Linked DNA regions of Yarrowia lipolytica. The protein of the gene in region 2 binds, or shares a complex with, the protein of the main gene of each other region. Links are inferred from orthologs where the notes say so. Each region holds a gene or a part of one and is shown on either strand. Other genes may lie near its edges.

The links. The genes of interacting proteins can lie anywhere in the genome.
Region 1: the proteins of YALI1_D16609g (region 2) and YALI1_B03335g are in contact, whole or in part, in a crystal structure (PDB 3ONL), measured with the Saccharomyces cerevisiae proteins. The link is inferred for Yarrowia lipolytica from reciprocal best matches to the Saccharomyces cerevisiae genes ENT3 and VTI1. Residues at the interface, in NP_012659.1 of Saccharomyces cerevisiae: Asp53, Ser56, Gln57, Thr59, Tyr60, Asn61, Phe62, Glu64, Arg65, His100, Gly101, Ser102, Glu103, Arg104, Arg154, Arg157, Lys158, Arg161; in NP_013924.1 of Saccharomyces cerevisiae: Leu31, Asn35, Thr36, Leu38, Lys39, Glu42, Gln43, Gln45, Asp46, Asp50, Lys88, Gln92, Leu94, Val95, Asp96.

What each region holds. Positions count from the first base shown.
Region 1 is NC_090771.1:328,742-338,770, forward strand, and holds YALI1_B03335g (uncharacterized protein), read left to right. Parts: upstream 1-4,828; coding exon 4,829-4,928; intron 4,929-5,372; coding exon 5,373-5,431; intron 5,432-5,582; coding exon 5,583-6,083; downstream 6,084-10,029. Other genes in the region: YALI1_B03288g (uncharacterized protein), read right to left, coding at 1-133, 178-262; YALI1_B03290g (uncharacterized protein), read left to right, coding at 315-409, 459-786; YALI1_B03299g (uncharacterized protein), read left to right, coding at 1,186-1,322, 1,392-1,485; YALI1_B03314g (uncharacterized protein), read right to left, coding at 2,209-2,694; YALI1_B03324g (uncharacterized protein), read left to right, coding at 3,724-3,881, 3,933-4,326; YALI1_B03404g (uncharacterized protein), read right to left, coding at 8,964-10,029. UniProt on the Saccharomyces cerevisiae protein: t-SNARE found in various SNARE complexes involved in multiple transport pathways. The composition of the t-SNARE complexes is specific for a limited number of v-SNAREs and therefore allows only the vesicles carrying the matching v-SNARE to fuse.
Region 2 is NC_090773.1:1,657,494-1,667,632, reverse strand, and holds YALI1_D16609g (uncharacterized protein), read right to left. Parts: upstream 6,732-10,139; coding exon 5,232-6,731; downstream 1-5,231. Other genes in the region: YALI1_D16672g (uncharacterized protein), read left to right, coding at 411-1,442; YALI1_D16656g (uncharacterized protein), read left to right, coding at 1,974-4,886. UniProt on the Saccharomyces cerevisiae protein: Involved in the recruitment of clathrin to the Golgi network and endosomes to form clathrin coated vesicles. Plays a role in the trafficking of clathrin between the Golgi network and endosomes.

The DNA.
Region 1 (10,029 bases), on a different chromosome or scaffold from region 2:
TGAGTCATCATTGTCTTTACGTAAAGAGTCTTGTGGAAGTTCAAGGGGTGGAGACGTGTAGCTACTTCACCACGCCTGTTGTCTACTGTACCATGACGCTCACTTATTACTATTGCATCGCCAAGAATCATCCCTGACTCAGTATTCGAGTCCAAGTCAGATAAATCTCAACTCGACGGAGTCCCATCTCTTCTACTGGCCAATAATACGCCAAATGTGCTCTTGCGCAGGTCGAAAGAGAATGAACAGAAGCGGCTGACATGTTTTACTAGCATTGGTGCCAGAGATTCGAAGTTAGGCATGTGGATGGTGAGATGATGCTCTGGTGTGTAGTAGTACGAGAGCAGAACCGGCGCAGCATTGAGCTTGTCCTGTTACTGAACTCGGAGGAGAGGCATTGGTGTAGTTTGTACTTGCGGTAAGTGGGTGAATCGAATCGGTATAATCCAATTGTGTAGGATCAACTTTGAATTGGAGCATCATCATTTCCGTCAGCTCTGTCAGCTCGTCAACCCCTCGTCCCCGTCAACTGGTCCACTCGGTCAACCTGATCAACTCGGTAACTCCGCCAACTCCGCCAAATCCGCCAATCCGCCAACCCCTACCGAATATGTTCAGCCACAGTACATTCTTCCTCAACCCTTCAAATGCTCATACAAAGCTAGGATTCTCCAAAACTTCATCTCCACCTTCACTCACTCCCCGGACTCCCACACAGCACGCCAATCAACCAGCATCAGACCACCTCGAGCGTCGTTAACTGACTACAGTATGTACGGCTGCTAATGTTCCACAGGATAGGCCAACTGCGTTCCAAGATTTTGGCCAAAAGAAACGCCGAAAAAGCAACGTTCAAAAAGAAATGCGACACGCGGATTAGATCCAGGTGAGGATCTACACCCAGGCAGTTTCATCCCCATCACTGAGTGTGAGACATGGTAACTACATTTCAGCGGTGCTGCTGATCGTCCGCGATGGATGAGTAAGCTGTATTCCTAGCTTCAGGTGTGGTTATCCAAAATGAGGGTTGCTGAAGGAGACGCAGGAGACGTGATGACGAGGTTACAGAGACAGTGCAGTACCCCCCTTTAAAAAGATTCGAAGCTGTGTCAGACCTTGTTGCGGTGTTGCTGGAGTATACGCATACTTGTACTGCGCTCAATGATACTACTTCTTTCGTTGGCAATGGAGATACAACCAATTGACCAAGAAATAAGTGAGTGCAAGCACCTTCTACCCAAGTCCCGCACTTCACATCTCCATTACCTGTTCCAGGTTAGTCAGTATCAGCTTTGGCGGGAGTTAACGCAGCAATGGGCTCAGTAAGGTACTATCGAGGATACAACAGGTACAAGTATCTCGATATTGTCCGATTAATCTTCAATTTAAAGTCCCGATTCCCCCCTCCCTGTCGTTAGACTGATTTCAATTGGTCTCGTCCACACACAGCACCAGGCATTACTGTATAACGATTACAGAGTATGATATAGACGAGTTATGAGTATTGGTAAGAGACAATATGTTTATTTGAATCACTATTTGTTGTCTTGATGAGATTTTCTGTTCATAAAAAGTCTCTAGGGCTCAGTAGACACTCTCGTGGGTTTCAGCTCCACTTTCTGAACAGGGTCACAGAACACGTTCCAGAGCATATGAAGATATGAGCGTATTATTAATCGAATCCTCCATGCTGTTCAAATCCCGTTGCAAAGCTCTCTTCCTTGTAACATATCATTGGATCGCACAAGACATGGCATTTCACCAACACTCCACCTACAGCACAGAATCAGTTTCAGAAAAGCCACGACGATGGGCTCAATGACAGCAGAGCCTCCAGAGTCGTTATAGAGCACTATCGAACCTCCGTACCCTGCAATATACCCATATTGTCTTGTAAATATACATCCCCAGGTACTGTACATGACAAGTGCAACTACCCCGAACAGTACCTTCTGAAAGAGGATTGAAGCTATCCACTTCACTTTTAACAACAAACCCGCCTATCTCACCTCCACCACTTCACATACTAAACATCATCATTAACTAACACATCATTTGCTGTTTTCTAATCTGGACATGACCTTCCACGTCAACATCGAATCAGAATGCCGGTCCAAGACTCGGCCTATTTACACTCCGCCACTGGTTGATCTCCGCCTGACTTGGTTCGTTCAAAAGTCGTGTTTGATTCAACTAGACCTGTCCATCTTAGTTGAAATCGGAAGCCTGCAAGTTTCGAGTCATGGCAGGCAGGGCGATTCGGATTCCATCCAGATCCTTGGACATACACACCTGGCAGCCCAGACGCGAGGTCTCGGTGAGGCCAAATGCCAGATCCAGCATGTCGTTCTCATCATCATCAGGCTCCTCCAACTTGTCGTAGTACTCGGGGTCCACAATCACGTGGCAAGTGGAGCAGGCACACGATCCGCCACAAGCGCCCTCCATGTCCAGATTGTTGGCCTGTGCAATGTCCAGCAGATTGTCGCCCTCGCACGTGTCAACCTCAATCTGCTCACCGTCCTTGGTGATGAAGGTGACCTTGATTTCCTCGCCAGGCTTGGGCTTGTGCACATGACCGTGGAAAACGGGAGCCGAGGTCTGGAAAAGACGCGTGGCCGGGGCAACGGGTCGGAACGTCCGTGGAACGGCCCGGGAAACCTGCAAAACCTGTCGAGAGAACGTACGGAGCATTATCGGTGGCGTTGAAAAAATGTTGATTTGAATCTTCAAACTGTACACATTTTAAACTCTATCAGAGGAGCTGAGTGGGGGATTAGTCAGCGGTCGAGGGGAAATTGAAGACGTTGATATAATGCTGGATTGGGGTGTTGCTGTCAATGTGGTGAGTTGAATGGTGCAATATATATCGCTCTCGGGTACCTATATCAAGACTTGTGGGTGATATAGCGCCCGAATCCGTTGCTTGATAGGACTAATTGGTGATATCTGGAGCTTGCGGCATGGTGAGCACTCTAAAGACCTCCTCAGATCTCTCTCAGTAGCTTGCTAGCTTTTTTTTGCTTTATCAGAGTTGAAAAGGAGGCATTATGTCTCATTTGGCTGAGTTGGGTGCTTAGTCAGCTTGGTGAATACTGCTCCGATTTGATTTCTGATAGTTTATTTTTGCTCTATATCCGATTACAAGACGAACGCACTCTTTGTAGTGTAAATATAATACCTCTATCACGTCCTGACGGGGGTTTCTACCCAGCCAATAGAAACGCTTACAGTAAGAGAGAAGACTAAAAGGCCCTATAGGACGTCATTTACTGTACAACCAAAGCACGAGTTGCTTGGATATATAATGGGAGTCTTTTTCATGTAGCAGAATTCATCAAATAAAAATGGGCTTTGATCTGATCTTCCTCCGAATTACGAAAATACTATATATAATAACAAAAAACGGCTTTATTATCCTTTCCTGAGACACGCTTACATGTGGGGTCACCCACAGGTCGGTAGTAGGCGCATCTGGATGTGGTTGTGCACAGTACTGTATGTACAGTACGCAGTACGTTGGGGGATGTGTCGACAGGTTATGAGCTAGGGTGGGTGATTGAGTGATTGCGACATTTGTACGACACTTGTGTTTGAACTGAACTTGTACTTGATCTATACTTGACCTTCTAGTTGACTCTAACAGCACTATAAACTATTTTCGAATGCCCTGAACAAAAGCGGTTTGGTCACAAAGAATCAATCAAAAGCGCTCGATCTCTTATGGCCATTCTTCTCGCGGCGGATACAGATGCACAATTGTCAGTCTACTTGCCTTTCTCGTACAGTTCGTACTCGTACCTGACCGGACATGCACGGTTGTGGCGCCTTCTCACATACAAGGAACCACCGTATAGGGGGTCCATAAGCGACCCCTTCTCGTACCCAACTTGACCCTGCGTTCCCGTCGCATTTGCAGCCCGTATACATAGCTCCACGAAAACCAAACGGCTTTTGTCCTTGTCGCGCGTACAACTCCAGTTTCCGGCGTCTGCAGGTGTCGGCGCGCTTCCTGGAGGCATAGATGGCCGGAAAAAGAGCGCGCAGAGCTCACTGAGCAAATCCCGCAACTCTCAAAGCGGCTGCCATGTCTATGTGCCAAGGAGCGAGTCCCGGCTGCGTTTCTTTTGTGTCCAACCGGAATCTCCGAATCCACTCCGACTACCTGCGTCTGTCGAGTATAGGGCAAACGAAGCGGCTAAACGGTTTTCTGCCTTGTTGCTTCAAGTGTGTCTGTCGTCCAGCGGGATTTTGGTCACGCGCACAAGGTCTCGTGACCCCTTAAGACAGTTGTGGGCCTTCAGATACCGCTATGAAATGTTGTAGAAGACTGCATATACTGGGCATGATGATTGGCTGGATGAAAAGAGATCTGGAACTGTCATGCAGGTCCAAAGCAGATCGAAAAGAAAAAAAAAATTGAACAAATGAACTCTCTTTGCTTTATAATGTCTGTCTTGGTACTGTGAGCTCTCCTGTATGTGCTGTACATTTCTCCTCATCGTAGATTTCGCTCAGCCGTTAGTCCATGGTGACCATGTTCGGTTAACTAATGGTGTAAGTAAAGTTGTTTAATTACTTAGGTGAATTCAACTAAATATATATTGGCGAAACTGCACTCAAATTGTCCAAATTGAGAAAATGGAGTTTCATACACCGTGGGACCCGCTATGGAGCGCATCTTATGGCTCTCGGCCTTCTTATTATCACCCTCAAAAATCCTGAAAATCAGCCCGCGTAGGAATCGAACTGAGCCCTAGCCCCGCACACCGCTATCACGCACTATCCACTATCACGCATACTGTATTCTAGCCCCCGCCACGACATCATGGAAGCGAGCGAACTATACAAGAGCTACGAGACGGACTTTCTGCTGGCGCAATCCGAGATTGAGCAGAAGCTCGAGAGCATTTCGACGCTCGAGCGAGGTGAGTATGGGCGAGCCAAGGGCGCAACCTCGACAATGACGTGGTATTTGATCGACAAGGAATGACATGAACAAGTGGCATTCGCAATGTTTTCGACTGCTGATATCTGGCAGGTGACGTATTCTACCACGAGATTGCTGTTTGGCAGTCGTCGACAGATGCTGCCCAGCGGTGCATCTTTCACTATTGGTGACAAGAAACGCTGATTGAACGGCTATAGCCCTTTGGAATTCGGGTATTCTGTTATTCACGACTGTGAAATACCAGACAGTGAATCATGGTCCTGTCACCATCAACTTTTTCCTGCAGGCGCTCGATTGAACTTCAACCACTCCTGAAGAAGTTCATGGGGGACACAAGTAATTGCTTTCTGTTACTCCAGTGATACGGTCCGTTCTCATGTCTACACGGGTCTTAACTTGTCAATTTCCAGTACTAACACAGACGCCCGAACATCTGCCGTCAAGGCCGTTGAGCGAACCATTGGCGAGGCCTACGAAATTGTGAGTATCGAAGGGGGATATTTGGTCGATACAAACGACATACTGGTTAAAAATGGATCTGGTTTTTTGGACCGGTCTATTTAACAGTCTTAATGATCCGGCTGGACTACAGACACGACGCCCAACAATCTCCTCATCCCTACTAACTCAGCTTGACCAACTCTCGGTTGAAATCCAAAACATCCCCTCGTCTGCGCGAGCACCTTTGTCTGCCAACCTGCGACAGTATCGACAGTCAATCCAGTCTGCTAAGAAGCAGCTTGCCAACGTGGAGCAGGCTGGCGCTCGAAATGAGCTCTTTGGAGACAGATCGGCGGCCGGCGACGGCGACATTGCTCTCGACCAGCGACAGCAGCTTCTGTCTGGCCAGGAGTCCCTCGACCGAAGCTCGCAGCGAATCAGAGACTCGCAACGAGTGGCCAACGAAACTGAGTCCATTGGAGCCAACATTCTGACCGACCTGCGGGGCCAGCGGGAACAGATTCAAAACTCGAGAAACACATTGCTGGAGGCAGATGGCTACGTGGACAAGAGTATTCGGACTCTGCGGTCCATGACCCGTAGGATGGCTATGAACAAGGTGTTGACCTACCTGATCATTGCTGTGTTGGTGATTCTCATTCTGCTGGTTCTAGCCAGCAAGTTTTGGTAGACGGTAAATGACGTAATGTTGACTATAATTATTAATGAAAGGGTGTATCCAATGCAAGTTGGTGATGGTAGTGCGTTCTATGGCGGGTAGGAAGTGGAGAAGAACGGATACTGGTAGCTCTTCCAAGACGTAGAGTCAAGCAAACGCCAGTCTCGCTTCATTGACACTCACTCTGAGTAACCCTGATACTTGTACAGTTGCTGGCTTCTAAATCTTTCGAGAATGGTGGTTCCATACATGCTCTTGCTCTAGACCTTGCAGCAACAGTAAGAAGTTGGCTACAGTACTGCAGATAACACGTTCGAGACTTGGCAGTTGTTCGCGACTTTGTCGTCTAATGAATATTTGCTCTAGTATTGACACTTGCGCTATTCCGTCTTGGTCTAAATTAATGTGTATTTGAAATAGGACCTAATGAACAGCATGGAGCGGTCTAAAACCAAGCTAAGGACCATTGTTAGGAGATTGGAAAGTTGACTAAGGGGGAATAAGAGGTCCAATGACTTATGAGAGGTGTTTTCTTTCTTTACAAACAACCAATTGTGTGAGTTGTTGTGTCTGCACAGGCTGGCCAGTGGCGTGTCTCAGACAATCAGACAACCATAATCAAAGGCATGTTGGTTCAAACCTACGACTTTTAGTCAATACTGTAAATAAGCAAACAAATAAACAGCGGTGCTATGTGGACTGGGTTATACTGGTTATTGTTTGGCTGGTGATGTCAACGCAAGTAAGGACTTGAGCTTGTGGTGTGGAATATACAAGTATGTACTGTACTTGTTTTTCCATAACCGTCCCACAACAGCCAGAGTCGGTACAGCATCGAGGGAGTCAAGGTCTAGCTTGTAGAATGAACTCACAATCCATGGAGCCAGTTGAGTACTTGTAAAAGTACTTGCAAAGACCCAATGACTTGTGAAGGGTGCAATGTGAAGCTGACGGCTGCACTCGTTGTAATGGCTGCATGCGGGTCTCAATACGGGCTTTTTATGGCTTTTAATGCCGCCAAAATATTATCAGGGCTATACTTATAGTATATTATCGGCTCCTGTATTGCTTTTGGGAAGAGTGATAGGGATGGACATAGCGAGAGGGGACCGGATCAACCCAGTCCAGGACATAGAAGACAAATGGAACCACACCGACTGAGAGTCTCCACCTTCTGTATCCAAGAGCTTGCCGGTATATTCTCTTGGCACGTGACTGTCTTCGTCGAGATCATCTCCAACGTCATGTCCAAGCTTAACAAAAGTACTTCCAACTTAGTTATACTCAGGTGAGAGCATACCTAAAAAGCCATTAAAAAAGCAGAAAAAAAAAGCAGAAAAAAAAAAAAAGCAAGTCCATAAAATGCCTTTTCCGAGGGCTCCTGTACAGTTAGACACTCCAACAACGATGAGGGGGGGGGGGGGGGGGGGGGGAAAGAAGCCAAAAACAAAGGCCGAGGCCCATTCCATCCAACCTACCGACGATATTCCTGCCAAAAGTAACCCACAGAGCATTACCTCAGACAAGTACTGTAGTCCTTTAAGCTGCCCTGACCAATTCTCACTCAGCGAAGAGAGTTGATTGGTTCATAGAGAGGCTTGGTTGGCAGTTGCGGGCTCGTTGATTGACAGTTGGAAGTGAGATAGAGCTGAATAATAGCTGACAGGATCGTGTTAATAACTAACGATAACGATTGAAGTGTAGTGGATATTTGTGGTGTCCCTGTGGTGTCCCTGAGGTGGTTGGTTCGAATAACTGAGTCGGAGCACCATGATGAGCGCTACCAAGTCGTGTGTATCATGGAGTTGCCCGGAGCAGAGCAAGCTCTCAGAGGACACAAACTTGTTGTTTCGAGCTGTAGACAGAACTTGAACGTGGTTCTGGATGTGATAAGTATCGCACAGAATGTTGGGGGCACCGTCGACAAAAGTCAACGACTTAGGAAATCGTCTCTGTAGGGTATTGGATGACGTGGAGAGTCCTCAAAGAGACTCGTAGGGTGACTTATCCCCACCAAAATGGTCTGATATTCGTGACGACCTGTTCCAATCAATGATTTCTTGTGCCCGTTAGATATTCCCACCAACTGCTGTAGTTGCACATCAACTTCTGCAGTAGTTGACATTATGCACAAGTCAAGTATTGCTCCCAACTTCCGAGCCCAAAAGCCAACTACTCGCAACCATATTAGAAGACTTCTCTACAAAACTCGCCACCGGAAAAACAGCTCATGAAAAGCCACTATTGACCTTGAAAACCGCATCTGCGACCCAAAATCAGCTTCTGGGCCATGAAACCAACTCACACAGCCTCCTCCACCTTATACAAGACCCCTTGCCGAGGACTCAACGCTCCGTCACCGTCTCTGACGCATAGTATCATTGTGGAGGGTAGAAGAGGGTGTGTGAGAGTCATTCTAAGCAACAGATGCTGATGGTGACGAGTCAGTGAGGTCGACATGGTCGTTGCGAAAGCAATTGATAGTTGAAAGTACAGAGCATTCGTTATCCACGACTACACTGACATGACACAGACAGTCCATGATCACCCACACACTCAACACACCAGCAACAACACTCACCCGTGTTCCATTACTCGCCCAATTGAAGGCCGCCCTTCAGACCACACTCTTCACGTGGCGCGAACCTACACAGACAACCGAGCTGGGATCACATCCCACGAATTGATGACGGTGATGGCTGATCCATACAGAATCATCCTCTCTCTCGTCACAATCTCAGGCTACTTCCCATCCATCCATCCCACATATCACCCCAATCACAGATCACCCCGACCACAGATCACATCCATCACACCACACTAGATCATGTCAATACGCCAGATTCCTCCCCGCTCACTACCCGGCAGTCATTCGCCATAAATACAATAATATTACAATGCTTCAATAATGTGGACAATCTTGTCCACGACTTTTTCGAAAATCGAGTCGTCTCCTCGAACCACCACCAGCTTGCCCTGGCCTCTCAACTCCACTGCCGACGACTCCAACTCGGAGCCCTCAGCCTGCAGATAGATGAGAATGTCGGGAGCAGGAAGCCCTCGAAGCAAATTGGCACTGGACATCCATTCCTCGAGATACGACGAGGCCGAGGCCGAAGACACACTCTCAGAGACGGACGCTCGAGACATGAGTGGGTCATGTGAGACGGAGCCGTGGTGGTGGGGAGAATCACGTGAGATGGAGCCGCGCGACTCGTGGGCCAGCTCAGCCACACGCGTCTCGTGTTGGTGATGCGACGTCACGTGGGGATGCGCGTTGTGCACAGGGTCATGTGACACACTTTCACGTGTCGGGTCACGTGTGGCCGAGGTGGGCTCATCTCGCGAGAGCTCGTGCTCTGCGCCAGCATGAGGAGCAATCGCCACGCTAGGCGAGCGTCCACTTCCTCCTACGCTCGCCGGCGATCCACTCTCGGACTCCTCGGGGATCACAGAGGTGTCTCTCTTCCATCTCTCCATGGCTTCCGATTCGTGTTCTTCCGAGTATGTCGACGTGTGGCTTTGTCGCATCAAGTGCTCCTGAACAAACTTGTCGGCAATCGTCACGAGATAGCCATGTAGCAGGACAACGCCAGGCTGAGAAGTCTTGTGTTGCGCCGAATGGAAGTAGTTGGACACGAGCTGATGTAAACACGTGATATTCCACATGGCTGACGCGAATCCGTCGGTGATGAAGTCGGGTTTTTGGTTGATGATGCAGGCCAGCGAGTTGGCGGGGGTGGTTGAGGGGTTGGTCGAGGTTGTGGGGGTGTCTGACGCGCCTGCAATGTTGTGCAGGGTGACAAACGAGTACTTTGAGTCGGTCGGCGCGTTTTTGCTGTCAGCAGCCTCTGCACTCTTGACTTCGGTAGGAGTCTCAGCCTTGGCTTCGTTCTTATCGGCAACCTCAGCCTCTTTTCCTTTAGCTTCTGTGGGCTCCACCTTTGCAGGTTCAGTG
Region 2 (10,139 bases):
TTGTGCAGTACTTGGTGCAGTACTTGTTTTTTTTTTCTGCATATATATTATATATATATATATAATATAATATTTTCTGCATTATACATTTCGTTTAATTATAATATATTTTTTTTCTGCATACAAAGTACACCTTTCGTAAAACTTGATCTACTATCAGTATCTTAGTTAGCCTGTACTTGAACAAATATATCTGACCGAAATTCTCTGATTTTCTACGAAATACGTAAAAATGGGGGGTAAAAGGTCAAAATACCGAAAATCGAGACTGTAAACCGACTCACCTCCCCAAAAACACACACACATTTCTCTACAATACCACCATCGAGGTCCTCGCTCTATCACACTATTCGCCTCTGGAAACCTAACTCAAAAAAATTGTTACAGCATGCATACGGAACACAACGTCCATGGTCCCCCATAACTACACATCTACAATGGACTACGGCAAGATTCAGGAGTACATGGCGACGAGCCAGCCTCTCATGGCGATCGAGAAGCTGCAAAAACACCTGTCCACGGCCCCAGACGATCTTTTGGCGCTCCAATTACTAGGAGAAGCTCTACTGGAAATCGGAGAGCCCGAGCAGGCGTACAATCACATCAAAATGGCGGCCGACGCGGATCCAGACGGATCCAAGGGCGGCTACGAGAAGTTTCTGTGGCTGGGCCAGCTGGTCGGAGGCAGACAGGGCATTGAGTGGTACAACAAGGGAATTGAGGGCCTCAAACAGGACATTGCTAACGACGAGCACAAGCTGGGTTCGGGGTCGCTGGACCAGGACTCCGACCACACCAAGCAGGCACTCGCATACAAGAAGCGAAAGCTGTGCGAAACGCTGTGTGGAATTGTCGAAATCTGGATGACCGACCTGTGCATGGAGGAAGAGGCCGAGACCCAATGTGTCAACCTGATGGAGGAAGCTATCAAGACCGATAATGAGCATGCCGAGAGCTGGGCCGTGGTGGCCAGCGTGCGAATCAGTCAGCAGAAGAATGAGGAGGCCAAGGAGGCTCTTGCCAAGGCATGGGAGATTTTTGCCGTGGACCAGGAGCCTTCTCTTCCCTCCATCATGCAACTGACTAAGATGCTCATTGAGATGGGCATGCTTGAGCAGGCTCTGGAGGCGTCGGTTCGAATCCACGATCTCAATGATGAGGAGATTGAGGGTTTCTATCTGGCTGGCCTGGCCTCTTTCACGGCCTGGGAGCAGGACAAGGAGGACCTTACACACGCTGTAGCCGCAGCTTCTGCCTTCCAGCGAGCCTCCAAGCTGTACGAGAAGCAAACCAAGCAATTTGGCGAGGCTTCTTGCGACCCAGAGGTGGTGCAGCACATTCAGGAGATGTACGCCAAGCTGCCCTCCGATCTGGAGATTGAGGAGGACAAGAAGGAGGAGTATGACGATTCTTGGGAAAAGGAAATTGTTTACGAGGAGTAAATAGGATAGTTTTGATAGACTTATATGCTAAGATGAACATGGCGCAGAAGGAGGGTAGTCTGGGATCACCAACTGTTTGAGGAACGATCCAGAGTTCAGAAACGCCAAAACCGATGGCACGGGAAGAAAAGAAATGTCTGTAGCAGCAAAACAATATCATGTGGCATTTCTTTTGAGTAAGTATATCGCCACCAAGGGGCTTGTCTCCACTTCGTATTGAATCGTGTGCGTGTAGTGCCCAGCCTTGCAACAACAGTACTATCACCCTCCTTTTCTTCCCATAGGCAATTCTTATCATGTAAACGAGTTTATGGTCTGTAAAAGGTGGCTTCTGAGCATTCATCAATATCTCAAAAAATCTCCGCCTTGTCTACTAAAAGTGTGTGTCCTCTTCTACTACAAGTAGTACCAGTCCCGCCAGTCACCACTGGTGTAGAAAAACCGTGCATAAAGTTTTGCCAAAGTCTAAAAAAATATTGTAAGACGCACGGAGCGATATATCTCTGCCATCCATTTTCAGAACCACACAGTATGGGAAAACGAAGCAAAAGCAGCCGGTCCGGGCGAACCACGACCGCCGGCAAGGTGTTTTCGTCCAAGCGAGCCACGTCGTACAAAAACGAAACCGAGCCCTCCAAGCCCGTACCCAAGTCTCGAGGCAAGCATGCTCTGTTGAACGCCTTTGAAATCGCCGAGGCTGAGGAGCGAAAGAAGGCCCGTAAGAACGGGGAGGAGTACTCCGACGACTCCGAGGATCACGACATTGACGATGTTTACGATGACGGTATTGTTCGGTTCAACAAGGACGGAACTAGAAAGGTGTATCAGCCTGGCGATGAGGAGGAGGAGGAAGACGACTCGGAAATCGACTCTGACGAGGCGTTTGGCTCTGACGACGGCGACGAGGAGATTCTGGACTCTTTCGGCGTCAAGTCCAAGGCCAAGGCCAAGTTCAAGGCCATGGAGGACGAGTACGACTCTGTGGACGAGGAGGAGTTTGTGGATCTTTCCGAGGCCTGGGATCTGGACGATCGTCAGCAGGAGAACCTCAAGAAGAAGAGCGGTGAGAAGGCTGCCCAAAAGGAGGATGCAAAGAAGAGCTCAAAGACCAAGGCTACCACTTCTTTCAATCTTCAGGAGGAGGAGGATGACGAGTCACATGGAGATGATGAGTCTGAGGAGGGAGGATCTGAGCAGGAACAGGATGCGGATTCCGAGGACGTTTCTGACGGAGAGGAGATCGACTCTGATAACGACGACGATTCTGATGACGGTGACGACGACTCTGATGAGGAGGACTCGGACGGATCTGTCTTTTCCGATATCGATACCGAGTTTGATGAGGAGAAGGCCGACAAGCTTCGATCTCTCATTTCCAACATGTACGAGAACGACGAGGATGCTGAGTACGAGAAACGACGACGATACGAGAACAACAACCAAGAGGAAAATGAGTTTGGCGTGACAGTGTCGAAAAAGAACAATGATGGCAAGCTGTCTCTTTCGGACCTGACTTCAGGTGTGGACAAGAAGGCAGCTGCTAGTCTGTCTCTTCTTGGCAAGCCCGACGGCAAGTCCAAAAACAAGCCCCAACATGTGGCTGTGCCTCTCAGTAAACGTCTCCAGGACAAGGTGGAACGTAAGGCAGCTCTTGATCTGACGCGAGAGGAGCTGACCAAGTTCGACGACCTGATTGCCCAGGACGAGGATGCTGAGCATCTGGTTTTCCCCCGTCTTCCCGTCTACGACTCTGATGAGGAGGCCAAGCAGCTGCCCAACACCGGTATTTCTGCGCTGGCCCCCGAGAGTGCTATGGAGAAGAAGATTGCCGGTATCCTCAAGACTTCTGCTCTTGCCGACGAGTCGCAGGCACAAAAGTTTGAGGAGCTGGCCACCAAAAACATGTCTATGGAGGAGCTAGCTGCCCGACGAAACGAGCTTCGACGAATGCGAGAGCTAATGTTCCGAGAGGAGCAAAAGGCGCGGCGAATCAAGAAGATCAAGTCCAAAACGTACCGAAAGATCCACAAGCGAGAGCGAGAACGGCTCCGAGACGCCATGATGTCCGACGAGGAGAGTGACCAGGAGGACCACGACATCAAGCGAGCTCAGGAGCGAATGTCGCTCAAGCACAAGAACCAGGGCAAGTGGGCCAAGCGAATGGTATCGCAGGGTCTGACCAAGGATGCCGAGACTCGAGGAGAGATGGAGGAGATGCTTCGACGAGGTGAAAGTCTGCGAAAGAAGATGTCTGCTCGGGACGACAACGATGGCGACGAGCAGATTGACTCTAATCTGGGCGACGACCAGTTTCTGTCCCAGAACAGAGACGCTCTGGTTGATCCTGATGAGCCTGCTGAGGGAGCTAATCTGGGCAAGGGTCTGCTTGGCATGAAGTTCATGCGAGAGGCTGAGGCTCGTCAGAAGACGGAGAACCAGCAGCGAATCCAGGAGCTCGATCGAGCCAAGGCCAACTGGGAACTTGGGCAGAGTGACGACGAGGACGAAGGTCGAGTTGACACTGCCAACGAGATTCTCAACCAGGGTCGACGAAAGTACGCGCCCGGAACCAAACGGTCTATTGCCGATGTGCTTGCTGTCAAGATTGACTCTGAGCGAAAGGCTGATCTTCAGTCTGATGATGATGAGGATGATAATGACGACAGAGATAACGACAACGTGACTACTGTGGTCAAGAGCGACAAAAAGAAGGAAGGAGGTGCACAGGACGACGATTCTGATTCAGATGACGACGCCTCCAACCCCTGGTTCACCGAAACCAACATCCACAAGAGCAACAAGGTCAAGCCTGTGATGGAGGCTGAGGCTTCTGCACGAGACCGGCTGGCCCACAAGGTGGCCAAGCATCAGAGCCGGGTGGTGGAGAGTGCGAAGAGCAAAAAGGCCCGCAAGCAAGATAACATTCTCATTGACACTTCCGATACTCTTGATCTCGTGACTCAGGATCGAGAGGCCGACACTGACAAGGGTATCTCTTTCAAGCAGGATATGATCAAGCGGGCCTTTGCAGGAGACGATATCGTCGAGGAAGAGTTCATGGCCGAAAAGAGACAGCGAATCGCCGACGAAGGAGATCAGGAAATCGACATGACCCTGCCCGGGTGGGGAGGCTGGGGAGGAGAGGGCATGAAGGCGCCCAAGAAGCGGTTTGTCAAGAAGATCCAGGGTGTGGCCGTCGAGAAGCGTCAGGATCGAGATCTCAAGAACGTGATCATTTCGGAAAAGTCGGACAAAAAGTCGGACAAGTACCAGGTCAAGTCGGTCCCCTATCCCTTCGAGTCTGTCGAGCAGTACGAGGCCTACCTCAAGATGCCCATGGGCCAGCAGTGGACCACGGAGACTACCCACCAGAAGCTCATCAAGCCCCGAGTCATTGTCAAGCCCGGAGCTATCATCAACCCTCTGGATGCTCCTCAAAAGTAGTGTCCTTCATTCTAAAATCTCGTCAGCCATATATAGAGGCTTGGTATATATTTAAGTGTTATGAAGTATGCACACACGTAGTGTGCTAGTGATCGATGCCTATGACTTTGAGTGCTTTAGTCTGGTACAGTACACTCTCATTCTCATCTACTGATCGGAGTAATATAGTTGAACATTTTGTTAAACTATCTGGGGTAGAATGCACACACTGAACAAAGTCACACTTGCGTTACAATGTCTTTGGTTCCCGTCTATATGTTTGCCATTTTTCGGCCACTCATTTCCATTTCCGTATTCATCAAATCATTATTCATTACTGGTCTAACATGTCTACATGGGCCACATTTACAGATCCAAAAGGTTGCCGGTCTCCGCAGGCTTAGAAGCAGGAGCAGGAGTGGAAGAAGACGAAGAAGCGGGAGCGCCCCACAAAGCCTCCTCGTTGGACTTTTGGGCCATGGATGACAACGAGGTTGTGGGCTCGTTCTTCTTGGCCTTGGTAACGCCTGTGGAAGCGGTGCTCCACAGGTTGGAGAAGGCGTCTGCTCCGCCAGATGACTTGGCAGCTGCAGGCTTGGAGGCGGCTCCCAGGCCGGTGGAAGAGGCCGATGCGGGGGTGGACGCGCCACCGAGACCCGAGCCGCCCAGGGCAGGGGTGGAAGAGCTCATGCCGCCAGAGCTGCTCTGGAAAGAGGAAAAGGCAGCGTAGTTGGGACCCGAGGTGGTGGAAGCAGCAGTGAAGGAGCTGTTCATGTTGCCACCCATGAGGTTGTTGCTGTTGGATCCGTTGCTCGCACCAGTGTTGGTGGGGATGTTCTTGAACAGATCGTCGAGGTTGGTGAGTCCGGGCTTGGTGGCAGGAGCAGCAGCAGCAGCAGCGCTGGTGGCAGCAGTGGTGGCAGGAGTGGCCGACTGGAAGTCGTCAAACTCGTCCTCATCATCTCCAGTAGCAGCGGAAGCAGCAGCAGGAGCAGAGTCGAATCCAAAGGGATCGTCGGACTTTGCGGTCTTGGAGGGCACGGGAGGGGGGGCAGACTCGTACTCGGCAGCGTCTCCTCCGGCATCGTACTCCTCGAACGAATCATTGTCGTTGAACTCGCCCGATCCGCTGGCCTCGGCGCTGTTGCCGTACCCGGGTCCGTCGTATTCGGAGCCATCGAAGCCTCCTCCGTCGCCAAAGACACGGCCTCCTCCGTATGCTCCAAATCCGGACGACGAGCCTGAGGTCGAAAACCGGCCCGCCCGCGATCTTCCTCCCATTCCGCCACCGCCCAGCTGGACGGAGTTTGCGGCGTCATTACCAAAGCCACCGTACTTGTTGCCGGTGCCGCCGAAGCCCTTGGTCTTGCTTTTTTGTGCTCGGGCCTTTTTTCGCTCGGCCCGGATTCGAGCAACATCCTTGAGCAGCTCGTTGAGCTCCTTAGCCCGGTTTCGCACGTTGATACCCTGGTCTTTGCCGTTGGCGTCGATGAAGTGAAAGTTCTTGAGCATCTGGATCACTCCTACGTGGGATCGGGCGTAGTCAATGACCCGCTCCGAACCATGCTTGACCAGGTAGTCCAACAGCTGCAGAGCCTTGTAGATCTGGCGCCACTCCTCCGACGTCTTGTCGGTAAACCGTCGGTAGATCATCGACATGATGTCGTGGAACTCGTTGTAGTTGTGGGTGGCATCCGCAATCTCCTGCATGGCTGTGCTGGAGGCTCCCCATGGCTCGTTGTTGGTGGCCTCTCGAACCTTGGCTTCGATGGGCGTGAAGTTCATCACGGCATTCTGGGCCTTGCGCACGTACGCCTTGACGTCGTACAGGGACACGTTGGACAGCTGGTCTCGAATCTGGTCCATCTTACCGCAGAGTGGAGGTGTGTAGTTGCAGAGTGGTGGAGATATTCACTATCGGTATGCGTGGCTTTAATGCGGTAGGGTAACCAACAAGCCTACTTGGGAGGAGATTGGGGGGGTGGGGGATGCAGTTTATGTAGTTGATGAGAGGGTCATTATGGGGTATTTTGGGGGTCACTGTGGTATCGTTTGAGAGCTGAGAATTGTGCGCATCCCGTGGTTGTGGCGGATTTGCATTTTGGGCGATATTGGTGGCGCTGTTGTGGTTTTCACACATTCAACCCGAGCATCATATCAGCACCACTTTCGCCAAGAAGGATTTCATTTTTACAGTGATTCGAATGGATTTGAGGGCTACAATCATTGGTGGCATCGGCCTAACACCGCCAAACAACACCCATCTCTGCCCAGCTCAACTACTTAGTTAGGCTTCTTAACAAAAGCCAAATATACAGTTTATTTCCCCACGGTAAAAAAGAAAGGTGCTGCTACAGACGTTGATTCTGCACCTACAAGAAAGATAGACCTGCCAAACCCAGCTCCCGGTCGCCCTCTCTCATATGACGAACCCCACGCTCCCCTTTTCTCCTCAAATAGCCCCCAAACCCGCCCTCCAAACACACCCCAATCAAAACACCTGCCCTCGCACATTGCCAGCAAAACAACCCTATTTGTCAACTCTGATCTCAACGGCTGAAACGGTTCAGACTAAACGATATGGCGAGGAAATGATAGGCTGGAAACCGACCGGAGAGATCATGGCATGTCTAGTGTTTTTGCCGGTGGTTTCCGGGCTGGTTTGGCCCATAATCTCTCTCGTCCATGTCAACCCAGTTGTTGCATAATCTATAAAATCAATTCCCTCATGTTCTGTATAGGATGAGTCTGTACAGTGACACCATACAATGGGGATTTAATGGCTATATTGAGAATCCATGACTAGAATGGAGGAGTGCTGAGGACTATTCAAAGTGAATTTTATCAGCTATTTCTCGTTACATACTCTCCTGGATTAAATAGCGCCTCTAAAATTCACCTTTTTTCTTTTTTTTCCAATGATTCATTTTTTTCCAATTATTCATTTTTTCCACTCTTTTTTTTTAAATTCTATGACTAATCCGATTTTGGATCAGGTACGTGAAAATTCACAAAACCTAAAGTTGCGGGCGTGTAGCACAGTGGTAGCGCGTGGGCTTTGCATGCTTGAGGTCACCGGTTCGAACCCGGTCTCGTCCACACTTGTTTTTTGCCGTTTCTGGAGGCTTGCGGCTTTTATTTTTGTCCCCTTGAGTATGACTACGACCTGCGGCGGAGACTGGGGGGCTAGTTTTCTTCCGTCATAAAGCACCAAAAATTAAACTAAATTAAATTAAATTATTTATTAAAAGTGCCCCGCAACCTCGTCAACTCAACTACAAGTGTACTGGTTGGTGCTGGTTCTGGTGATGGTCTCAATAATGCAGCCAAAATTTCGACCAACATGAGATTATTTTAACAGAAAGCGTATTGGAATTTCACCACAGTTCCAAAGAACGACCAATGTCTTTTCAAGCATTTTGGACACCCTGGAAAGAAGCCTAGAGACTGACATGACATGAAGCCCCAGCAGACATGACATGAAGCTCCAGCAGACAAGCCCCAGCAAGTCCGTGATGGCGCTGTATGTCAAGAGGAAGATGATGAAAAGCCAAATGACATATGTTTGCTTTTCGTCACCTTCTCATGTTGCTCACCGATCGCCATCTTCTTGACTATAGGAGATTTTGAGCCACGGTCATGGCAACTAATCAAGACTGGAATCTTTCCAGCTGCTAACCACACATCTGCCAGATTCAAGCACGAGTGATTGTAATTCGTCTGAGTTGAGGAAGTACGAGTACCTACCAAGTGTCTATTGGTGCCACCCTTCCGACAACAACATGATATTGTAGAAACACATAGACGAACTGTAGACAAGAGAAGCACACTGACATACCAAAATTACCCTTTAAACAACTATTCGTCTGTCAAGAAACAATTGAAATCCCACATCTGCCAGCCTTTTATCGCGTCTTTATTTATTCTAATGGTCACGTGACTTTCCTATCTCATACTAGTGAAGAGGACAATTTTGGAGCTACACCGTCCGGGCTGTTGGTGTAGTGGTAACATATCTGCCTTCCATCGAGTAGTTAGCAGGTGCCAGGGGTTCAATTCCCCTACAGCTCATTTTTTGCACGTCAATGTTGCACGAGTTGATTGACGTCCATGATATTCTCTTTTGCTTTTTCTCTTGTTTTTTCTCTCGTCCTTTTCTCGTTTTTTCTCTCCTTTTTCTCTGTTTTCTTTTTTCACGTCTTCCTGATTTGGCCAACCTTATCAGCCCCGACTAAGCAATGTTACTTGTATATTTGAAGATGATCTGGGTGGTTTTTGATTAAAAAATCAACGTTGTTGCTTTAGCGGAAGCATTAATTACTATATCTCATGTTTGAAAATGCGATTTTGTTTGCATTTTGCAAGATGGTGCTTTCCGGAGATAACTGGAGATAACAGAAAGGTTCATAACCATAACAAGGACTCCACCTTTTTTGGAAAAATATCACCAAGTTTCGACAGATTTGGCAAAAAGAAATCTCCCGGGGGCGAGTCGAACGCCCGATCTCAAGATTACAATATGATACCATTACAGTCTCGCGCCTTAAACCAGCTTGGCCACCGGGAGGAATTGTGATTTGGCCGAAAAGTTTGGGATTTTGACGGGTCGGAAAAAATAAATTTGAAATGAATCATTAGTGAAAAAACAAACCAAAAAAAATTCATTAAAAAAACAAAGCCCCCTGTAGGCCCCAAGTAGCTGAAAAAAGCTGTGGCAGAATCAGAGAAATCGACACAGTTGGCGACATGAAGTGACCTCCAAGGTCCAAGGTGAAATTCAAGACTAAGACGTAAAAAATTTCCGTAAAAAATTCCAGAGCCAACTGAAAATACAGATCAAGCTTTTGGCTCAGGACGAGAGATGCGCGCGATGAACGGTGCAGAAAAACATTACAGCTCTGGATTGAGTACTTGTACCGAGCGGCTGGGTATTCAAACAGGTAAAAAAGTAAAAAGTAAAAAGTGGACGACACCGGAATCGAACCGGGGACCTCGCGCATGCTAAGCGCATGTGATAACCAACTACACCAGACGCCCTTGATGAGAATTGGAGTCGGTTGCATAGCGGTTCTGGAAATCGTGAAAAAAAACAACGTAATGAATGATTAGAAATAAATAATAAAAAAAAAAAAAAGAATCATTAGAATAAAAAAAAAAAAAAACAACAACAACAAAAAAAACACCAACAACATAACAACCATACACCGAGCTACTCCAACTTCAACTCCCCGATGTCGCAAAGACTCCATCACGATACACACGAATCTTGTTCAT